2 linked regions of the Nothobranchius furzeri genome follow. The protein of the gene in region 2 interacts with the protein of the main gene of each other region in a pairwise test. Links are inferred from orthologs where the notes say so. Each region holds a gene or a part of one and is shown on either strand. Other genes may lie near its edges.

Region 1 (10,518 bases), on a different chromosome or scaffold from region 2:
TATATATATATATTTTGTGTCCAATTGATTTAAATTCACGTGTTTTTTTATTTAACCGTGAAAGAGTAACAGTACACTTATCACAAACTAACAAGAACCGGTTCCTCGGGTCAGGACTCAGATGTCCACGTGTCTTCAGAGACACATCGGGGGACAGCAGAGAAGACGCGATTCCTGTTAAACAGGAAAAGCCTCCATGTCTAGGTTGAGTAAGTCAATGACCGGCAGGACAGGGTGGGTCCCTGACTCACATTCAACAGTACTAATGATCCAACATGGCTCCTGTGTGTAGAAAACTGGCTGTGAGGCCAATTCTGGGTCATCTGCAACTGTTTACAACTTATGGGTTTACCATTTCTTTCCAGTCCTACAGGTGGTGATAAAGCTTTTGCTTTCAGTCGTTCATTTGACAGAAAATCCTCCTGAGTGACTTCAAAGCTGAAATTTGACACAGTTCACATGCGGTTTGCGTGTGCTCACATTGTCGAGGGAACTGCTCGGCCAGCTTGCGCAGACTGCTGAGGCTGTCAGCTCCCAGCTGGCTCAGGATGCCCGGCAGCATCTCCGTCAGCTGTTTGGTCTCAGCGTGGCCCGTGATGGCAAAGGTGTTGGCAGACAGAGACGCCTGAACTTTGGGGTTGTTGAAGTGAATTACCGTCCCATCGTCTTTTATCATATTCACCTTTAAGGGTGGGGAAAACGGGATGGATGAGAGAAGTCAATGCAAAAATCCCACATCTGTATGTTTTTTTTTTTGTTTGTATTCTCAAACATTTTGAGGTAGGTGTAGCCGCTGAGAGCTTTCTAAAAATAAGCCAGATCTTGGGGAGAACCCTTAACTCAGGCTTCCATCCTGTTTTATGCCTCATGGCACATCACTGATAAAAGATTCAACTTTCAAAGACAAAAATATATTTAAAAAACCACGATGGTGTCATCCATGTTCCTTTGATGTCTCACCTCTTCTATCCCAGCAATGTTGTTCACTGCCAGTTTCTTCAGCGAGCCCTGCAGCTTTTTGTCATCAGCTGTCGCCGTTTTGTGAACAACCTTTTTCTTCCTGCGTGCGGTCCCCTAGGAGGAGATCAAATGCATACTGAACCAGGACATTAAATCTAACAGGTTTCCATATCCGGTGTGATTAAGATTCTCAGTCATACATTTCTGACATCACATTACATGTTGTAAGAATGGTTCATTTAACTCATAAAATGGCAAAAACTGATAAATTCTGCATTTAGCTAAAACCACAGTCTCCCTTAAGATTGCCACACAGATTTTTCATATATAATTTGGGCATAAAAGCTTTTTTAAAGACCAAGTCACCCCCTACAAGAAACAAACTTACTCCCACTTCATGTGTGAAAAATGCAACAAATGCTGTTGCCTGACAGACAAGAGGGCGGAGCTGCAAACAAATGCACACAAACATGCTCCCAACAGCATTGTGACATCATATGGTACCAGCTAATGTCATTGTGTACCTCTTAGCCAGTAGCAATAGCAGATTTAAAATCAAATGTAGTGCAGAGTTTTTACCTGACGACAGCGCAACACTGACAGTTTCAGGCAGAATATTTAAATGAATGAAAATGCACTAAAGTGCCAAATTATTGACTACACATGTCTACAGCATGGTTAGACACTCATTTATATATTTTATCAGCAAAAAAGAAGTTGATTTGGTGGTGACTTGCTCTTAAAGCACAGCTTTTCCCCATTCTTCAAAATATATGTGTATATTCCAGCATAATGAGTTAGACGATGTGGCCTAAAATCAATATCACAGTATAGTGAGGCGTTCACCTCGATAAATGGACGATAACTACATGTATACACAGAAAGTTGTCCACTAGATGGGGGCTGTCACGTGTATTATGCGAGTCACGTCACATGACTCGAGGTGGTACAGCTTCTTAAAGGGACATGAACGTGGCCAACCTACACACATCTTTTCATTTTTTTTGTTATCAAATTCATTTACATGGAAAAAACAATATCAACTAGTGTCAGACAGTTCAATAACGATACATTTTTGATATATTGCTCAACCCCAGCATATGCCCACCTGACAACACGTCTGTCAAATCATGCCTTTTTTGAGCTGTATGGCACTTTGATGTGCCAGTTTACCCATCAGATCATCATATACTTTGTGTAGAACAACTGCATGACACTGATGGATGGTCCTATCAGTCTGATCAACATAAGCTTTGTTTTAGTAACTGCATGACATCCTAATAAGCCATTTTAGCCATCAGATCACCACACATTTTGTTTTATCAATCGTATGACACACTAATATGCTCATTTTACCAGTCGGATCATACAGTTTGTTTTTAACAACAGTGTGACTTTGCCATCTGTATGCTGAACTGATAGCTCTTCAGAACATAGCGGAGGTTTAGATGAATGTGCGTGTGCACGAATGTGCATCAATTGCATATATGCTGCTCTGATATGTATCTCAGTACCTGCGCTGCAGCATTAGCTGGCGCAGACTCTGCAAACCGAGCACAACTGACAACACCCCCAGCTGGCTGAGATAGAAATTTGTATCCTTCTAGGGCTGAACGATTTTGGAAAATAATCTAATAGCGATTTTTTTCTTCAATATTGCAATTGCGATTTAATTCACGATTATTTTCTCAAGGGGCTTTTCTCATTTTTCAACAAACGGAAGCAAAGAAAAAAATCTATGTAACTTGTACTGAATATAAACAAGTTTATGTATCTACATATTTATCTACATATCATAACAAGTTTATCTGTCTACATAAACACAAGTAAAAACAAAATTTTGTATTTTAAGGTGCAATGCTTTGCAGCCAGGATGTGTCCCATTTATTGAAGTATTTTGATTTAGTGTTTTTGACGTTTTGTCCGTGCAGAGGTTCTGTAGTTCAATTTCGTTCATTTCTGAATATCTGAATCTTGAAACTTGTTGGATCATGAATCTGTTTAAAAGTTTTGTTCTATAAGTGCCCCCTTTTTAACTTTGAGCGCTCGCCCCTTCAAAGCTCTCTGCACTACCCTGATTTTTACACGGTTTCACGTATTTAATGTAGAAATTAATAACAATAAGGACATTAGTCGCAAAAGGAAGGCCAGGGAAGGACTATATTTTTAATTGATAGTATTTTTTTTATTGTAGAAAATGTTATGTGGCTGCTGGAGCCGGAAGAACTTTTCCCAACAAAATTAAAAATAATGCCATCTAGTGTGTGGCTGAAGACCTGACGGTTAATGCCACAAAGCCACAAAGGTCACAGATGCAGGGGCCAGAGCTTCACCTAACAAAGAGAATGCTGAAGTCAGTAGAAAAGATTTGGCCGACTCCAAATACCTTTAAACTTCTTAAAATAAAATGTCCGACTAATTTTAATCAAGTACTACTAAACATTTGTCATCACATCTGGAACTACAACAAAAAGTCAAGCTTTAAATTGTACCTTTCCTCCTATCCGGACCTGAGCTTGAAGTTTGGCCAGCTTCTCTTGATTCATAATGTTCTGTTGGTTTAATAAAACAAATAAAATAAAAATTAAATCCTCGTTAAAAACCCAAATATACAAGTTTACACCGCCCAACCAGCTAGCCGTTCAGACACAAGAATGCTAGCTAAGCAGTGTGTTGGGCAAGAGCCCTTTCTTCACACCTTAGCAGCAGGTTAGCAGAATTTAGACAAGCCAGTTAGCATTTTTACTCACATGAACCCCATCAAATCAAAGAAATTAATTTAAACAAAGCAAAATAAAGAAATTAATTTAATTAATTAATGAGTTATTTTAAACTTACGTTGGTGCTTAACTGAAGCTAGCTAGTTGAGAAATATCGAGGTAGACTGAGCTAACGCTAACGGTAAAATAATGCCGTGAAATAACTTTGACTATCTATTTAAAGCCTGAGCCACACCAAAAGATACGGCTTTCACAACATCAAATAAAATATTTAGCGCTAATTTAAACGGTATATTTACCTCTGATTGTGAATTAACAGCCCGTTGAACTGTGTTTGCTAGGAACGGAGCAAGACGGATTAGACACCAGTCAAATTAGTAGTCTAACATACAACTTCCGGTGATTATTTTGCCAAATAAATCTCATCCACGTGCAGAAATTGTAATTACTTTACACAAATTTGGGGAAAAATGCTATTTTACTAACGAAATAAATTTAATATATACATAGCAAAGATTTAATAACAAAAACTTAATTACTTACAACTTTCTGCTTTCCTTTGGTTAACTTATTTTTTGCAATTTTCGTCGTCATTTCCGGTTTTATACCAACATTGTTTGTCTAGCTTGACATAACACTGCATTGAAGAGCACGCGGTTGTGTAGATGTAATGTCACGTGAACGCGTCTCTAAATGGGAAAAAAAAAAGCTGGTGGCCAATAGCAAGCGAGACACACGCGCGCGCTACCATGGCTAGCATGCGCGCTGTTAAGATTTTTATTCCGAGACAAAACCTTTATTGTGAAATGTTGCGGTTGCACATCCGGGTCACTGACTATTGAGCTTTCCATTACTACCATTGCCTGCTAGCCGCAGTTGTGGGAAAGAAAGGCAATAAACATGCAACTGTCTGTAGTAAATGTCGCTGCTTTCTCCTTTTTCCAGGTTTTATTGTCTTTTTCGTGTTTTGATGTGGTTGCGGAAGCCGCCAGTGGGAGAGGTGAGTTCATATATAGGAGAAAATAAGTTTTTTAAGCAGGCTGGAGCAGCTTCATTGAAAGTGTGGTAGAAATGAGAGCTGCTGTTCTTTGTCAGCATCCCGGATCACATTGTGTGCGTCCTTGAAGACTAATAAACAGGCGTGTTGTGTCTAGTGTCACTAACTTGTTTCACTTCCAGACACTCATGCTTTATTTCTTGAAAATGTATTTTATGCATTTTAATAAATCTTACACGAAAAAGTTAATTCTACAAGACTACCCCCTGAGCCTGAGATCAGTGGACTCAGTGGTCTCCTTTAAAAAGCAGCTTTCAAACTCACCTGTTCAAGCTGGCTTTTGTATAACTTCTTCTTCACCACTCTCTTTATTCTGCTCTCCCTACCTATTTCACCTTCCTCGTCCACTGATTCCCCTCTTTCCTGTTCACTTTCTTTCTTTCTTTACATTTTTTAATCACAATTGTCTATTTTTTGCTCATTTTAAATATATTTTTAAACATTTTCTAAATTATTTTTTATATTTTTACATTTTTTGTTTTTGTGAAGCGCCTCGTGATTTTTATCTTGAGAGGCGCTATAGAAATGATACTTCTTCTTCTACAAACACCTCATTTGACTTAAAGCAAAAATAAAACAATACTTTAGGTCTGTTAAACCTGTATTGTTTAATTCCGATTCAATTTGATTAAATTAATAATTATCTCCACCAAAACAGAAAGTAACCATTAAGTTTCTCGTTCAATTCTTAAAATAATTGATTTTATTTTACTTAAAAGTTTAGCCTTAACATAACATACCAGTTATATTAGTTATTTGTCCCAGTTCTTTGTATTGATTCTGTATTTAGGCCAGACCCACCCTTGTGTGGAAATTTAACTCCAGTTACACAATGCTGTTGTGCTCATGAACCCTGCAGGATTTGGGGACAATATCCACTGGAGGACGCTGGAAGATGGGAAGAAGGAAGCTGAAGCCAGGTAGCTTCCTGTTTGAAGCCTCTTGTGTAAATATTATCTGGAGGAACAAGAAACATTTTCATTTGGGTCCCAACTCCCTTCCTTTTAAAAATCTTGCATTTCCGGTTTATATAAAGAAAGTCTACGTTGTATATTTACTGTTCTGACTGACTTTGATGCATGTGTCCATGTTGGTGAATTGACAGCGGGCTGCCGATCATGCTCATCATCCACAAGAGCTGGTGTGGAGCCTGCAAAGGTATTTACTTACTGTTTCTTTTTCTGGGAATGCCAGACAAAACTCTGGTGTCCACTGGCACTCATAAATAATACAAGCAACAGTGAAGTTGGTCCGACTTGTGAGGCGTTTGATCTTGGAGTTACTTCCATCTGGTTTTAGTTTTTTTTTTTGCCAATCCCAAAACACAGAAGTACTTCCAGGAAGTTGTCATTTAGCTCAGATTTTCCTCAAAAACAAGGAAGGCAATGGCCCATACCGGCTTTCGCTCTGTGAAAGGCTTCTTTTCAGAATGTTCAAAGTTTTTACTCTAAAACTATCAAGTAGAGATAAGAAGAGTCACATTTTTAAATAACTTTCTTTTCTTATTTGTTACAAATCAGCCCTGAAGCCCAAATTTGCTGAATCCAAGGAAATCTCTGAACTGGCACACAACTTTGTAATGGTGAATGTGGAGGTGAGAAACAGCAATTGGTTTAATTTTGTTTTCATTTTCCTTAAAGCAGCAGTCATGCATCAGGTAGTTAAAGTTGTAACTGTTTATGACAGGATGAAGAGGAGCCCAAGGATGAAGCCTTCAGCCCAGACGGTGGATACATTCCTCGGATTCTTTTCCTCGGTATGAACTCATTTGCATAAAACCCGATTGAGATCTTTACGATAAAAAAGCAGTGGCTCTTCAAGAAGCGACATACTATAGCAGAGCCTGAGCAGCTCTTGGAGCGGGATCACACCGGGGCCTTTAAACATGTCCTGACAGGAATCCCATCGGTGGGACAGCTCCCTGGGAATTTGCTGCTGGTCCCTTTTGCCCTGCTGATCACATTTAAAAGCCTGCATACACTCAAGGAGCATCAATAAACGTGCACCATACTACTAAAAAACCTGTTTGTTCCACTTACAGATCCGAGAGGCAAAGTCCATCCAGAAATCAGCAACAAAAATGGGAATCCCAACTACAAGTACTTCTACAGCACAGCAGAGCAGGGTAGGGGGTTACGTTCTGTGCAAATGTCTCAAACTATTTCCACTTTTTCTTAAGGAAGAGAAACTAAAATCTTTCAATTTCATTCTTTTTATATGGACACTGGCAATTTTTAGGATGATCCCAGCAAGGATGGTGTCATGAAAACACTGTAGGAAAACCAAAAGATGATTTAGTGTTCTAAAGTAAGAAAAAATAGAAATCCAGCAAGTTTACAGTTGGTATCTGTTTGGAAATCACCTTATTGATGTTGTAACGCGAGAAATTAAAACAAATGGTGTCTTTGTATGGTGTTGTCAGTAGCAAGGAGCCTAAAGATTCTATTTAAAACTGTTGATTATTTGAATGGGACTGTTCCTATTAATGAACGTAATTACCCCAGATTTAGCAAAAATGCCTATTTCCATCCGTCGTCCCATAAAACAAATACGCAAAAGTAGCAACAGTATTAATACACCATAAAAAGTCAAATATACAAATTCAATAAGAACAACAGATACAAAAAAAAGGATTGATTTAACCTGTTTTTAACTTGACGCATAGAAGTGCCAGTACTGCCCTAAAATGTTTGATAAATGTCATAAAATACTAAAATTAGAAGTCTTGAAAGATGTCTAAAGGTCAGTGCTAATTTCTGACAAATCATGCTTTCTATAATGGGGTAAGGTGTTTTGAAGAAGAAGAAGAAAATATCATTTCTATAGCGCCTCTCAAGAAAAAAAATCACGAGGTGCTTCACAAAAACAAAAAATGTAAAAATATAAAAAATAATTTAGAAAATGGTTAAAAATATATTTAAAATGAGCAAAAAATAGACAATTGTGGTTAAAAAAATGTTAAGAAAGAGAGAGAGTGAATAGGAAAGAGGGAAATCAGTGGATCCTGAGGAAGGTGGAATAGGTGTGGAGAGCAGAACAAAGAGAAAGTGGCGAAGAAGGTCATACAAAAGCCAGCTTGAACAAGTGAGTCTTCAGCTGCTTTTAAAGGAGTCCACTGAGTCCACTCAGGCTCAGGGGAGGGAGTTCCAGAGTCTGGGGGCCACAGCAGCAAATGATCTGTCACCTTTGGTCTTTAGCCTGGTGCGCTGCACAACCAGTAGGCTTTGATCACTGGACCTCAGGGACCTGCTGGGGGTGTAGGGACTAAGAAGATCACCAATGTAAGATGGTGCTTGTCCATGTAAGGCCCTATAGACCAGAACCAGGATCTTGAAATGAACTCTGAAGTTTACTGGCAGCCAGTGAAGCTGGAGGAGAAGCGGGATGATGTGGGTGTGTTTGGAGGACTTGGTCAGAAGCCGAGCACAGGCATTCTGAACCACCTGTAGACGGTTCAGGGAGGTTCTGCTCAGACACGTGAAAAGAGAGTTACAGTAGTCTAAGCGTGAGGAGATGAAGGTGTGGATAACTGTCTCATGTTCAGAGCGGGACAGAATGAGACTCAGCTTAGCAATGTTCCTGAATGTTCCCAGCTCCTGCATCCTTTAGAGGAGACCTATTGTAATTTTTTTAAAAGACATGATAGCTCTGTGGTCGATATCAATTATAAAATCCCTTTCACATAGTCATCTCAGTTTTGACATTTTCAGTACTTTCCAGAATCAGTCGTTCCTCAGTTAAAAAAAAAAGAAGCTGCATCTGGTCACTCCCACCCATCCCGATTGGCTGCTGTAAGCTGAGAAGCTCAGCTACCTTGGAGGGCCTTGGGATATTTTCATAATTCAAAGGAAAGTTTTCCTTTCCACTGTCACTACATGCTTCCGTAGTATGAGGATTGCTGTAAAGTCACTGACACAAGTCAGTGACTCGATACAATATTCTGGGTTTCCTTAAATAGGAACCTTAACTAACTGGCATATTGAACAGAACTAAATCCACCGATAAGTAGGTTCAGTTGGAATGTTGACTTTGTAAAGTGCCTTCAGACTACTCTTGTGATTTGGCTCTCTATAAATAAACTGAATTGAATTGAAATAACACTAAAATTGGTTTTAGAATTTTAGACAGTATTTTATTCTAGCAGATATTTGCTAGATAGGCCAACTCTATGATTAAATGGATTTTCCTTGTTTTGCTCAGTTTGGTCAGCGATGGAAGAAGCTCAGGAGAAGCTGACGGGCGACGCCTTTAAACAGGGTCACACCGGAGACGAGCTGTGAGGAGACAGCGGAACGGGGAGCGCCTCCAGGCTGTAAGGGCTACACATCTTCTCCCTCCAACAGGCCCTCTTGATGTTTAGAAACCCAGTTCGGTCTCCTCTGACTGAACCAAACTCACTTTTGAACCACCGGTGCTTGATTTCTTTTTTTCTCGTGTCCTGCACGGTTTTCCCTGCTCTGTTAGCTGTCATTGTTTATTATAACTGTACGTTACTGACTAAAATGCCATATTATACCTGATATCTGTAGAGGATTTTAATCAGCTCTAGTTACTATAAATGCTTTACTCCCATTTGAGTACAACGTTTGGTTCGGACTCCGAACCCACAGAGACTCCGACCGTCGGAGTTTCCGTGACTTGAGGGAGTCTGTGAATTTTCATCAATCAAATATTTAAAAATAATGGTATGTTTTATCTTTTTAAATACCAGATTATTTAGTCTTGACTCAATCATAAAATTGGTTGCACTGTCATTGCAACCTTATAAGTGACTTATTAGCAAGGTCTTTATGAGTTTAAAGCTGAACAATATGGAGATCACAATTTTTTAGACAGCCATAAAATCAGTTATCTTAGCTTTCATGAGTTGAGTACCAAAACCATAAAATTTTTCTGTCTTTATTCAGATCAGTGATTTACTGTAATATTTAGACATTAATCTAGTTTTCTTTCCTTAAAGGGTCATCTCATAAAAAAGGGTTTCTTTAGAAGAGTTGCATTGTTTTCTTGGATTAATGTGAAAGCCAGATTTCAATGTCCACAAAAAGAAACGGGCCTAAAGCCTCCTGATGAAGGCCTTAAAACTGTAAGAACGGTTAATAACTTCCATTTTTAAAGTTAGCAGGATTTTCCTTCTCTCCATCTGTGGTTCTTTATTAGCCATTAAATATTAACAACTAAAGCAATGTGCTTCCAAAAATCCTCTACAGTATTGTGTGGTAATATTCACAATATGACCTATAATTTACACAACCAAGTCTTTTAAATAACAAGTCCTGCCATATTTACGTGTGTCGTTTCTGTTCTGCATGTGATGTAAAACTCTTACATGCCTTTTTAATCTTCAATTAAAGAAGAGTGGATGTTGGTTTAGTGAATTGATGTATTTTATACAGCCAAGTGTGTAAATTAAAATGTTGTAACGAGTGATTTTGAGTCACATTTATGAGCAGAGTTCATTGAAGACACAGAAACGATCATTACAATCGATCAGATTTTATTGTCTTCGGCAACAGCAGCGATCCCTCCTGGTTCGTTAAACTGCTACAAACCGGTCACGTCCGTGGATTAGCGTGTGGGTTCACATTAATGCTTCAGCATTTGAGATGATACACTTGATCCAATCGTAAACACAACTCTAAATATGTCTTAATAACAAATCTTACAGCTAATTATTTTACATGATTAAATAAATTACAGGAAAATGGTGGAATACATATCTAAATATCTATTTAACAGTGAGAAAAACAGAAGGAATGTATGGTAACTTGCTGAAAAATT
Region 2 (10,418 bases):
GAGGACCCAGCGAGGTGCAGAAGTCTGGAGGTTCAGTGAAACCGACAACCAAATGGTCCAATCGTTGGTGTCGGACCGAGCCACATCATCGGCTTGGTCTGATTTTAGAAAATTGCGAGAGGACCAATTTGTTTTTTTTTTCTTCCAATTCTTTTTAATTTCCTCAAAGTATTAACAGCTATTCTACGTTAGAATGCCATTAAGAGACGTGAAAAATGTTTCAAACTAGCTTGTTTTGCAGCTTTGCCGTCGCACCTTTAACTTGTTTCTCAGTTTACCAGAGGTGTTGTCATTGCACATGGGACAGCATGTGTGACCCCTGACCTCTCCGTTTCAGACAGACGAGGTGTTTCTGGAGGCTCAGATCCAGAACATCACCACCTCACCGATGTTCATGGAGAAAGTGTCCCTAGAACCGTCCATGATGTACAACGTTACAGAGCTCAACATCGTCACAAGTGGAGATCAGGGGTAAAGGAGCTTATTGCGACAAATGAAGTCGCCTTTCATGTGATGCAGACCGTTAATGTCTTTGTTTTCTCTCCAGAGAGTCAACATTTGGCAAAATGTCCTACCTGCAGCCCATGGACACGCGGCAGTACTTATACTGCCTGAAGCCGAAGCCCGAGTACGCAGAGAAAGCCGGAGTCATCAAGGGAGTGACGGTGATCGGGAAGCTGGACATTGTGTGGAAGACCAATCTCGGGGAGAGGGGGAGGTTACAGACCAGTCAGCTGCAGAGAATGGTATTGTGTCACCTCCTTTTACTTCCCAAAACATCACGTTTTACACTCTTTCATTCACTTTGTCTGGTGTGTCCTCCAGGCTCCAGGATATGGAGACATCCGGATGTCCGTGGAGATGATCCCTGAAACTGTAAACCTGGAAGAACCTTTTGACATCACCTGTAAAATCATCAACTGCAGGTGCAGAGACTCATCCCACCCTCTTTAATAATAAAATGTGACCTTTGACCTGAAAGCACTAACTGTAACATTGGTGTAGCGAGCGAACCATGGACCTGCAGCTGGAGATGTGCAACACGAGGACGGTCCACTGGTGTGGGATATCAGGACGGCAGCTGGGGAAGCTCACGCCTGGTGCCTCCCTCTTACTGCCCCTCACAGTCTTCTCCTCCGTCCAGGGTCTGCAGGTAAAGCTCAGACTTTCTGGATCCAGAACACTTCCTGTTTCCTCACGCTCACATTTCCTGCTCCTCTTTGTTCCAGAGTATTTCCGGACTGAGACTCACCGACACGTTTCTAAAGAGGACCTACGAATACGACGACATTGCACAAGTGTGTGTGGTCTGTCCGTTTTTGAACAATGAGTGCTAGGAATTTTATCAGCCCTTTTTTTGCATTTTAGATATGACTGGACCAACGGAGGAGTTTTTGCACTTGAAATTTCACTCTTTTTCTTTTTGCAACCTAATGAGATGATACTACATTTTAAAATGAACTGTGAATAGCATTAATCTTTTCTTCTGGGAAATAATGTAAATGTGTAAAAGTGTTAATAAATACTCTGTAAACTTTGTGTCTCGTTTTCACAAATGAACAGTATGTTAGATTATGGTATTATTAGATATCTCACTTTTTATTAAGCATTTTGTTTAGTTTATTTTAACTTGGTCAAAACTGAGTATGTTTTTTAATCATATGAAAACCAGAGCATCTGCAGGGTTGAGGAAGCCAAATTTAAGACTTTAAAAGACAATTTTGATCAAATTTTGTTCTGCTGGGACCGAAAGTGCTGAAAAACACAAACGTCAAGATATTTGCTTTGCAGAAGATGAACGTGCATGTAGTTCCTAACATCTAAAGCTGCACTTCCCCGTGGCTCACACACCCACTAGCTAATGCAGCTAATGTGCATACCTGAAAATACACCCCCACCCTAAATAAATGTTGCTGGTTCCTCTTATGCCAGATTCATATGTAAAAATACAAAAGATTCACAAAATGCAAATGAAATAACGGTGTGTTATTTTTAAACCTGGACTCTAGATTTAAGGATTATTTTAATTATAGTCAATAAAAAAAATTTAATAATTATAGAAAATATAATTAAAGTCTTTTTAAGGATACACCCTGTAAATAAAACCCAAAACACACATTTTCCCACTACAATGATGCTTCAAAAGAAAAATGTATGTGTCAGAATTAATAATAATAATGCATAGAACTTATATAGCGCTTTTCTAGACACCCAAAGACGCTTTCACACACTCACATTCACACACTGCTAGTGATGGTAAGCTGCTTGTAGCCACAGCCGCCCTGGGGAGGTCTGACAGAGGCGAGGCTGCCATTTGGCGCCATCGGCCCCTCTGACCACCACTAACACAGGCAAGTTGGGTGAAGTGTCTTGCCCAAGGACACAACAGTAGGATACCCCTGGCGGGAGCCGGAATCGAGCCCATGACCCTCCGATCATGAGGCAACCCGCTCTACCACCTGAGCAACTGCTGCCCCGTGGTGATAATATGCAAACAGATTACATTTAAATAGTTTTTTGGCATGTTGGTAAAAATCATCGGTTCCTGAGGGAATATGAGTCATAAAACTAATGAATGCATTTTTTGAATAGTTTTGCATCATGCTGCCCAAATGATACATTTATTAAGAGCATTTATTATAGGGTGGGGGCAGCAGTAGCTCACCAGGTTGAGCAGGTTGTCCAGTAATTGGCGAGTTGTAGGTTGGATCCCAGCTTCGGACAGAGGATTCTGCTGTTGTGTCCTTGGGCAAAACACTTAACCCACCTTGCCTGCTGATGGTGGTCGGAGGGACCGGTGGCGCATGTGTTCGCCAGGCCTCGCCTCTGTCAGTGCGCCCCAGGGCAGCTGTGGCTACGTCGTAGCTCATCACCAGCGTACAAATGTGTGGATGACTGATTGTGTTGTGAAGTGCCTTGGGGGGTTGTAGAACCCTAAGAAGGTGCTACATATACACAGGCCATTTACAGTTTTACCATATTAATGGTTTGATTATCAAAATGAATGATTTACTTAAATTCTTGCTAAAACAATGAATGTAATTTATACCATTTTTAACATAACTACTGGCTGTATTTTAATAACTATAATGTGTGTGTAATCACATTAAAATGGGCTCTTTTCATCTTTAGATGCTCGTGTAGGGGCGATGGTGGCACAGGAGTTAAGTGCTTGCCCCGTAATCGGAAGGTTGCAGGTTCGAGCCCCGCTCAGTCTGTCGCTGTCGTTGTGTCCTTGGGCAAGACACTTAACCCACCTTGCCTGCTGGTGGTGGTCGGAGGGACCGGTGGCGCCAGTGCTCAGCAGCCTCGCCTCTGTCAGTGTGCCCCAGGGCAGCTGTGGCTACATCGTAGCTCATCCCCACCAGTGTGTGAATGTGTGTGTGAATGGGTGAATGACTGATTGTGTTGTAAAGCGCCTTGGAGGGTTCCAGGACTCTAGAAGGCGCTATATCAAATACAGGCCATTTACCATTTAAATGCAGCAGGGCTTTTAAAAATATATTATCAATGTCTTATATTAGTGCTGTTGTGGTTAAGAACATCTTTTCAACACCTTAATCTTACAGCTGAAATGTCTCCTCATTAGCCTTCGTTTCTAGAGGAGCACTCACTCTGCTCTAAAACAAGCAGAAAATGGGCTGGAAGCAGACGCCAGCTCCACCCCACTCAGCTCCCTCCACCAGCAGGGTCCGGACCGGCAACTCTGAAGTTGCAAGTCCGGTATTCTGGTCACACGAGGCATTGGGGTCTGAGTAACCCTGTAACGGGTCATTTTAGCACATACTCGCTCAAGAAAGTGATTATAAATGAAAAAGTTGCATAATGTGCCCTTAAATAAAAAAAATTCGGATGCATTTTTTATTTAAGGAAAACAAAAACAGGACGTTTAATTTTACTACATTTATTTGTTTTTGACAAAACAATGTGCTGTCTGCAGCATACCAATGTGTTGCCATAAAGCATCAGATCTCAAACACCAGCTTTATTTGCATGCAAAACAATCAGTACGAACATGTTGTTAATCAACCAATTGATGTGACTTAAAGGGAAGGGCTTCTTTTGCTTTGACAGAGCCGTAACAACATAAAACTCCGCTGTACAATCACACTTTTGTCTTAATTCAAAGTACTGAAAAGCAATGATGTGAATCTCTTTTACTCATAAACAGTCAACTCTGTCTACAAAAATAATACTAAATATTATAAACAGTATGCTTTAGTATATCTGTGTGAGAGACGAAGCTGAAATGGTCCCTGCTCTGTAGCTAATGAACGTTCCTCCCACACCCCTTGATGCCTCTTGACTAGACTGGTGGATTCTCAGCTCCTAACGCGGTGAAGGCAGCAGTTTCAGCACATCGAAACACCATCGGCTCATCAAAACTTCGAGGAAAATATTCACTCTTCTGTCGACGAGCAGAATGAGGTGTTGGCTTTTTGTGATCGGGTGTTTATGGTATGTTTGCCCTACTTGAATGGGATGTTCTTGTTTAAGGTCCAGTCTCCAGGCTCTTCCTCCTCTGCAGGAGCCCCTCAGTCTCAGTAAAGTGCCTTCAGCCCCACCCTCGTCTCTTCATTCCAGCTGTGCCGGGGATTTGACTCAAAGAAATGGGTGTAGAGATTGTTATCGCGCCGTATGGTTGCTCTTCCTTTGGGGGAAAAGAAATCGCATCTGCAATAAAAATATTAAATGTTAATCCTAAAAATGTGTCCTAGATTTAAGCAGTGGGTTAAAGTTTTGGGTTTTAGATTTTTTTTAATTACAGGAAAGGATCATGAATGCTCCTCGGCGCTGCCGCTGAAAGAACGGCTCCGGATGTGGTTCCTCAGCTGCTCGATCAGCTCCGGGTTCTGCTGCTGGATCTGTTGGGCAAACTGTTGTCCTCTTAATAAAGAGCAGAGACAGAAGAGATCCATCAGTTTTCTGCTACTACAGGCAGTTAAAGATGACAAATTATGACCTTTTTTCTAATAGTTTTATGGTCGATACAAAACATGTTCATAAAGGTTTTTTTGCACAAAATCTCTCGCATAAAGCAATTTCAGCTATTTTATAATTAACAGTTTCAGTACCTTCCAGAATGAGGCGTTTCAGAGTGCTGTCACTTAAAGAAAATGAGCTGGCGCTGGCCACGCCCAGCTGTCCCCTAACTGGCTGTTATAAGCTGAAAAGCTCTAATATCAAGGAGGGGTTCGGAGTAGAGCTGCAGCTCCTCCAGCAGTAGCTCTGTCTTGCACATAAGAAATGGTTCTATGCTAATTTCCCTGGTTGTGACATCACAAACAGGGAGTTTTTGAAATGGCTTGTTTTAGGCACATGATTTCTGAAACCAAACACTGTCAGAAAATGGATGGATGGATTTTTTTCAAGTTTGGAGTGTTTTTGAGGCAGTAGAGACCCACATGGCAGAACAAAAGATGGCAAATGGTGAGGTTTTCATAATACGTCCCCTTTAAACCCAAAAAAAAATTCTGATAATGAGTTTCTTTAGTTAAAATATCATTGGCCTCCTTCTACAAAGGATGGGTAACGTGATATAAAAGTGATTTTAATGAGAAACATTGTTTAATAGCGTATTTTATTATTTAGTAATAATGAGAAAGGTCTTAAGTAAAGTAACACTGATCAAAGGTTAACCAAATAACGGGAGCATGACTCAACAAATTACACTTGCTAACTCTCTCACTGCCCGCTCCTTCACACACACACTTCGTTACGGCTTGACCAACGGGTGGACGAATACGTTTCTCTGAAAAATTACAAATTCCACTGTTCCATCATTTTCTGCTGGACAAAATCCAAACATCCTGTGAGATGTCAGCTTTTTGTTGTTATGAGCGATCTCATCATTACGACTTGTTTTCATGAGAAACCTCCTCATAATTGCGTGTTTTTGTGTATCATAATAGTGAGAAGCCCCTATAATGAGACTGCTCTTTTCTTTTTTCTGACTTCATCTGTCCGATACCAGAAAGCGTCAGCACATTTGGGGATCTGTAATCAAACATACTGTTCCAGTCCTTTGCATTAGAAGTCTATATTTTGATGCAGGTGAAAAAAGGCAGCTTAATGATAAATCTGTGTTAAAACCATATAAGAAAAGTAAATTTCTATATCATTTATCATGGATAGAATTATCACAAAGATTAAAAAAAAGATAATTAAAAACAGAAACGGTCATAATTACTTGGTTTATTGGACAGTTGGAAGTTATTGTTTAGATGCCTTGCTGCCAGGATTTAGAGGAGTAGATGAATACCAGAAACAAAATCTGGACAAACCTTCCTCCAAAGCCTCTCAACAGAAATAAACCCCTAGACCAAGTAAAGGTGTAAAGCGAATATGGATTTGAGTTTAGTTTCCGTGCACTTACGCCTCAATCAGGCTGGAAATGTCTGACATTCCTCCCACTCCCGCTGCGGGGCCTCCAACGGCATTAGACATCATTCCTGACATCCTGAGCACACAGTGACACAGTGAGTCGATGCACCCCAGCTCATCCGGAAACTAAAGCTTAAACACAGACTCCACTCACAGCTGTTGGACCTGTTGGTTCTGCATCACACTCGCAGCCTGTAAACAAAAACCAGATGAAATCCATCGCGTCTCCCACAGGTGTTGTTAAAAACCGATTTACTACTGATCACGCTGGCAGCTTTATGAGGAAGACCCATAGGTCTTTGCTGTGAATGCAGGTAATGTCAGATTTAAAAGAGTTTTCCTGATGGAATGAACCTCTGGCCTGTCCGCAGAAGCATTCTTGACCTGGTTGACTATGGAGCTAGGACTGGGACAATATTCAATGTAACTTGTACCAAGTTTTGTAACTTGGAATATGTTTCATGACATGTAACTTTGGATTCGTAACTTGTAACTTTAGTTTTCCAACTTGTAATTCTCAATTTGTACTTGTATTTCTTGTTTTGTAACAGGAAATTTTCATTTTGTACATGTATTTTTTATTTTGTAAAACGTATTTTGCCCTCCTCTCCCAATGATTGGGCAGGAATTCAAGAAACGTGATTGGTAGCTAAGACTCGTGCTCTCATTGGTTCCACCCAAGTTCCTCCCACCGATGCTAGAATTGAGACAAAATTATTTGTAACACTGTAGATTTGAGGTTTGTACCTGTAGCATGAAATGTGTGTTTTGAGAGTTTTGATTTCAAACATGTACATTGTTTTTTTTTATTTTGGAAGTCTGCTAGGTAAAAACCGGAAGTTTCATGTTTCTGAATGAATGTTTGATGTCACAAAATGAGTAGTAAATGTACAAAATAAAAGTTTGATTTTACAAAACAAGAAATACATGTTGTAACGTGATGAATGAGCCATTTCTCCCCTCTAACAGCTGTCCTTGTGACACAGTGCCAGTGTGCATGAACAGCCAAGGTCACGCATTTACTTCTAATGTTTACATTCCAGCAAGAAGACAGAAGGAAGAAGAACACTTTTCTTTTAATTAATCAAAGAACTCTATTTTAATGAACCTAATCAAAACAACTGTTAGTCATTAATAACCATGTGACCGATCTGTGAAATCACAATGTTATGATTAATATGCTTAATGAGTAATATGACTTTGGTCTAACTGCACTAGACATCCTGATCCATGTAATGTCAAGACATGACACATTGTTTACTCATCCAATCAGAACCTTCATTCTGAAGCGTGGCAGAGTTTCTGTGGTGTTTATTTAATCTGTCCACTGCGATTCGTCAAGAATCGTAAACAACCAAGATTAATAAAACAGAACAACGCCATTTTGTGTTCAGTATTCAACCAACTCTCGAGATCATCTGATGTCCATCATTGCTAAGTGAAGTACGGACTGGCCATCTGTACATTTTACTTTTAAGCTGAGAACTGTCAAGCTGGAAAATCCTGTCGCTGTTACCAACAAAACAACGGTTCCTTCAGAATAAAAGCTGAACTCGCTGACCCAAAGGGGGGTCCCTTTGACGCTGTGAAACACCTGCCGTTTTTACCCGGAGACTATCCATAGACTGGCTTGTCGTGCTGTCGACGCTGTTTAATCGGTTCCAGCACCAGAGGAGGGTCCGAGGACCTGGCAGCCAGATCTAACATGGAAGTCCCTGACGGGTATTGTAGAACGGCACCAGATGGCGTCTAATGTCTGTCCTGACTAAAGTTCAAACGTCGATCAGTTAGGAGCAAAACTACATCTCCCACTCAGACTCTCTTCTCCAGACGGAGGTTCTGAACTGACATCGCACCAACACACACACTCCACCTCATTGCATTCCATTCACATCCATCACTAGAGAGTTAGTCCTGTTAACTGTTTAAAATAATTTAGATAATAATTTTTCTTAAACATTCCAAGGTCTCTCTCTCTTCTCTTGTCTCTCAGTTCATGCAGTGTTTAATTTTAAATTTCTCTATAAAAAAAGAATCACTTCTGATTTTAAAAGCCCAGGTCCAGAGATGGGGTCCCTGCCAGGTATGGATCATTAATATCTCTGGTTCTTAATTAAATTGTAATACCCTTCATTTCCATTACACATGTACAAATTGAGAATTACAAGTTAGAAAACTAAAGTTACAAGTTACGAATCCAAAGTTACATGTCATGAAACATGTTCCAAGTTACAAAACTTGGTACAAGTTACATTGAATATTATCCCAATCCTAGCTCCATAGTTGACACTCACATGTGTCTTCTTCTAACAAGGCAGGATTATTTCTGCTCGGAGCAAAAGGTTTTGTCTCTGATGGCTAACAGGAATGTTGGCTGAGATGTTAGAGCTCTTACCATGCTGATGAAAGCAGGGTTGTTGATCAAACTGGCCATGTCAAATCCTAATCCAGCGGCTATCTGTGAGCACAGATTCAAAAAAGCAACCATACGTGTGAATTAAAGAATACATATCCACTAAACGCTACAAAAACAATGAGTTAAAAACAGTGCTGCTAATCTATGTTTACTTAAATTTTCTATCCTAAAGAGCTAGCTGTACATTTGAAATAAATAACTTAAAAACTTTAATGACCAAAGTTTTTATACCAAATCTGGTTAAAGCTACAACGGCAAATCTGCCAATCAAGCTAGCTAGCTTAAAACATTTTTTCATGCCTCTCAATAACATTCTAACATAGTTTAGCTTTAAATGTTTTGTGGAGACAAAAATATAGAAAAATAATGACGTAGTTCTCTTGTAACAACCTCAGCCAATAACACGGCTCAGGTTGAAACCAACTATTGGACCATCCGGGTGTCTGTTTCATCAAGCCACCACACATCTGCATATACCTGGGTCCTCCACTCATTACGTGCCTGCACATCTTGCAACAGAACACCACTGGTGTGAGCGGTTCTCTGCTCAGAATTGCCGGACAAAGAGAAACAACCAGCTGCTACAACTTTAGAACAAACTACCAGAGTCCCACAAAGAAAAAATCCATTTGAAGTGTCAAATGAAGAGAGTCCCCTTTACCCATGACACAAAGAGATGCAAACAACAGACATTTTTTGATTGAGAAGTTGGACAGAAGCCGCAGAAAACAAAAGACAATTGGACGTAGAAAACTAGGGATGCACGATACGATACTGGAATCGGTATCAGTTAAAGTTAACCGATACCAATGCAGTTGCTTGAAAGGGGCTTCACTGTTAACTTGTCATTTCTGTTCACCTAATATTTTAGTTTTGTGATCATTTCTATTTGTAACGTCACAAAATGGCCTGATTTTGAGATCCCACAGGTCAAATGCACAGCCAGGTCAACTTACCCTGGCTATGACACATCTTACTGTATTTTCCCCTGACAGGAGTCGGAGAGTCTGCACGTAGCCCCTTTAATCAGAGCCTACTTCCTCACACCAGCTGGACTGCAGGGATAATAAATGATAAACAATAAACATTTTCTCCTCCAAGGTCCATCACAGAGGAACTCTTTTAAAATAAACTCCGTTATTCCAAGAAGAAGAAAAGAAGATTTTATAATTAAAAATAATCATTGAATGAACTTTTGTTATTGTTAATTATAAATAATGAAATTTTTCATTAATCTGTACTCAATGATTGTTTTAGTATGTTTACTTGACGAGGTCATAACATTTGCACTCACAAGTAAAGTTAAGTTAATGCATGACACATAAGTTAACCTTTTGCCCACATTCGGAGTCTCCATCGAAGAGGGTGTGTTCTGAGATTCTTGGTAACATCTCTCAAACTTGTCAGCCTCTGATTGGCTGGCCAAACCATAATATCAATTGTTTAAAACCAGATGGCTTTGGGTAATTAGTCAGTTCTTGAGCAAGCTTCAGACCGACCATCTTTAGCACCTCTCTAACCAGAAGGATTTTGACACGTCGTCAAAACCTTAAACCTTTTTCGCACCTGCAAAGGTGAAACAACAAGATAGTTTTCCTGCAGAACAAAGCTGACTCCA

Evidence for each region.
Region 1: the proteins of sgtb (region 2) and txndc12 interact in binary tests that used the Homo sapiens proteins (3 or more experiments, as listed by UniProt). The two-hybrid records come from large-scale screens. The link is inferred for Nothobranchius furzeri from reciprocal best matches to the Homo sapiens genes SGTB and TXNDC12.

What each region holds. Positions count from the first base shown.
Region 1 is NC_091751.1:41,993,641-42,004,158, reverse strand, and holds txndc12 (thioredoxin domain-containing protein 12), read left to right. Parts: upstream 1-4,486; 5' UTR 4,487-4,580; coding exon 4,581-4,680; intron 4,681-5,596; coding exon 5,597-5,657; intron 5,658-5,842; coding exon 5,843-5,895; intron 5,896-6,257; coding exon 6,258-6,331; intron 6,332-6,423; coding exon 6,424-6,493; intron 6,494-6,778; coding exon 6,779-6,862; intron 6,863-8,937; coding exon 8,938-9,017; 3' UTR 9,018-9,785; downstream 9,786-10,518. Other genes in the region: transcription factor BTF3 homolog 4, read right to left, coding at 481-682, 961-1,074, 3,453-3,506. UniProt on the Homo sapiens protein: Protein-disulfide reductase of the endoplasmic reticulum that promotes disulfide bond formation in client proteins through its thiol-disulfide oxidase activity.
Region 2 is NC_091746.1:65,341,571-65,351,988, reverse strand, and holds the end of sgtb (small glutamine-rich tetratricopeptide repeat-containing protein beta), read right to left. Parts: intron 8,843-10,418; coding exon 8,780-8,842; intron 6,577-8,779; coding exon 6,539-6,576; intron 6,461-6,538; coding exon 6,377-6,460; intron 4,888-6,376; coding exon 4,776-4,887; 3' UTR 4,767-4,775; intron 4,675-4,766; 3' UTR 3,966-4,674; downstream 1-3,965. Other genes in the region: trappc13 (trafficking protein particle complex subunit 13), read left to right, coding at 338-471, 548-746, 826-926, 1,006-1,153, 1,230-1,337. UniProt on the Homo sapiens protein: Co-chaperone that binds directly to HSC70 and HSP70 and regulates their ATPase activity.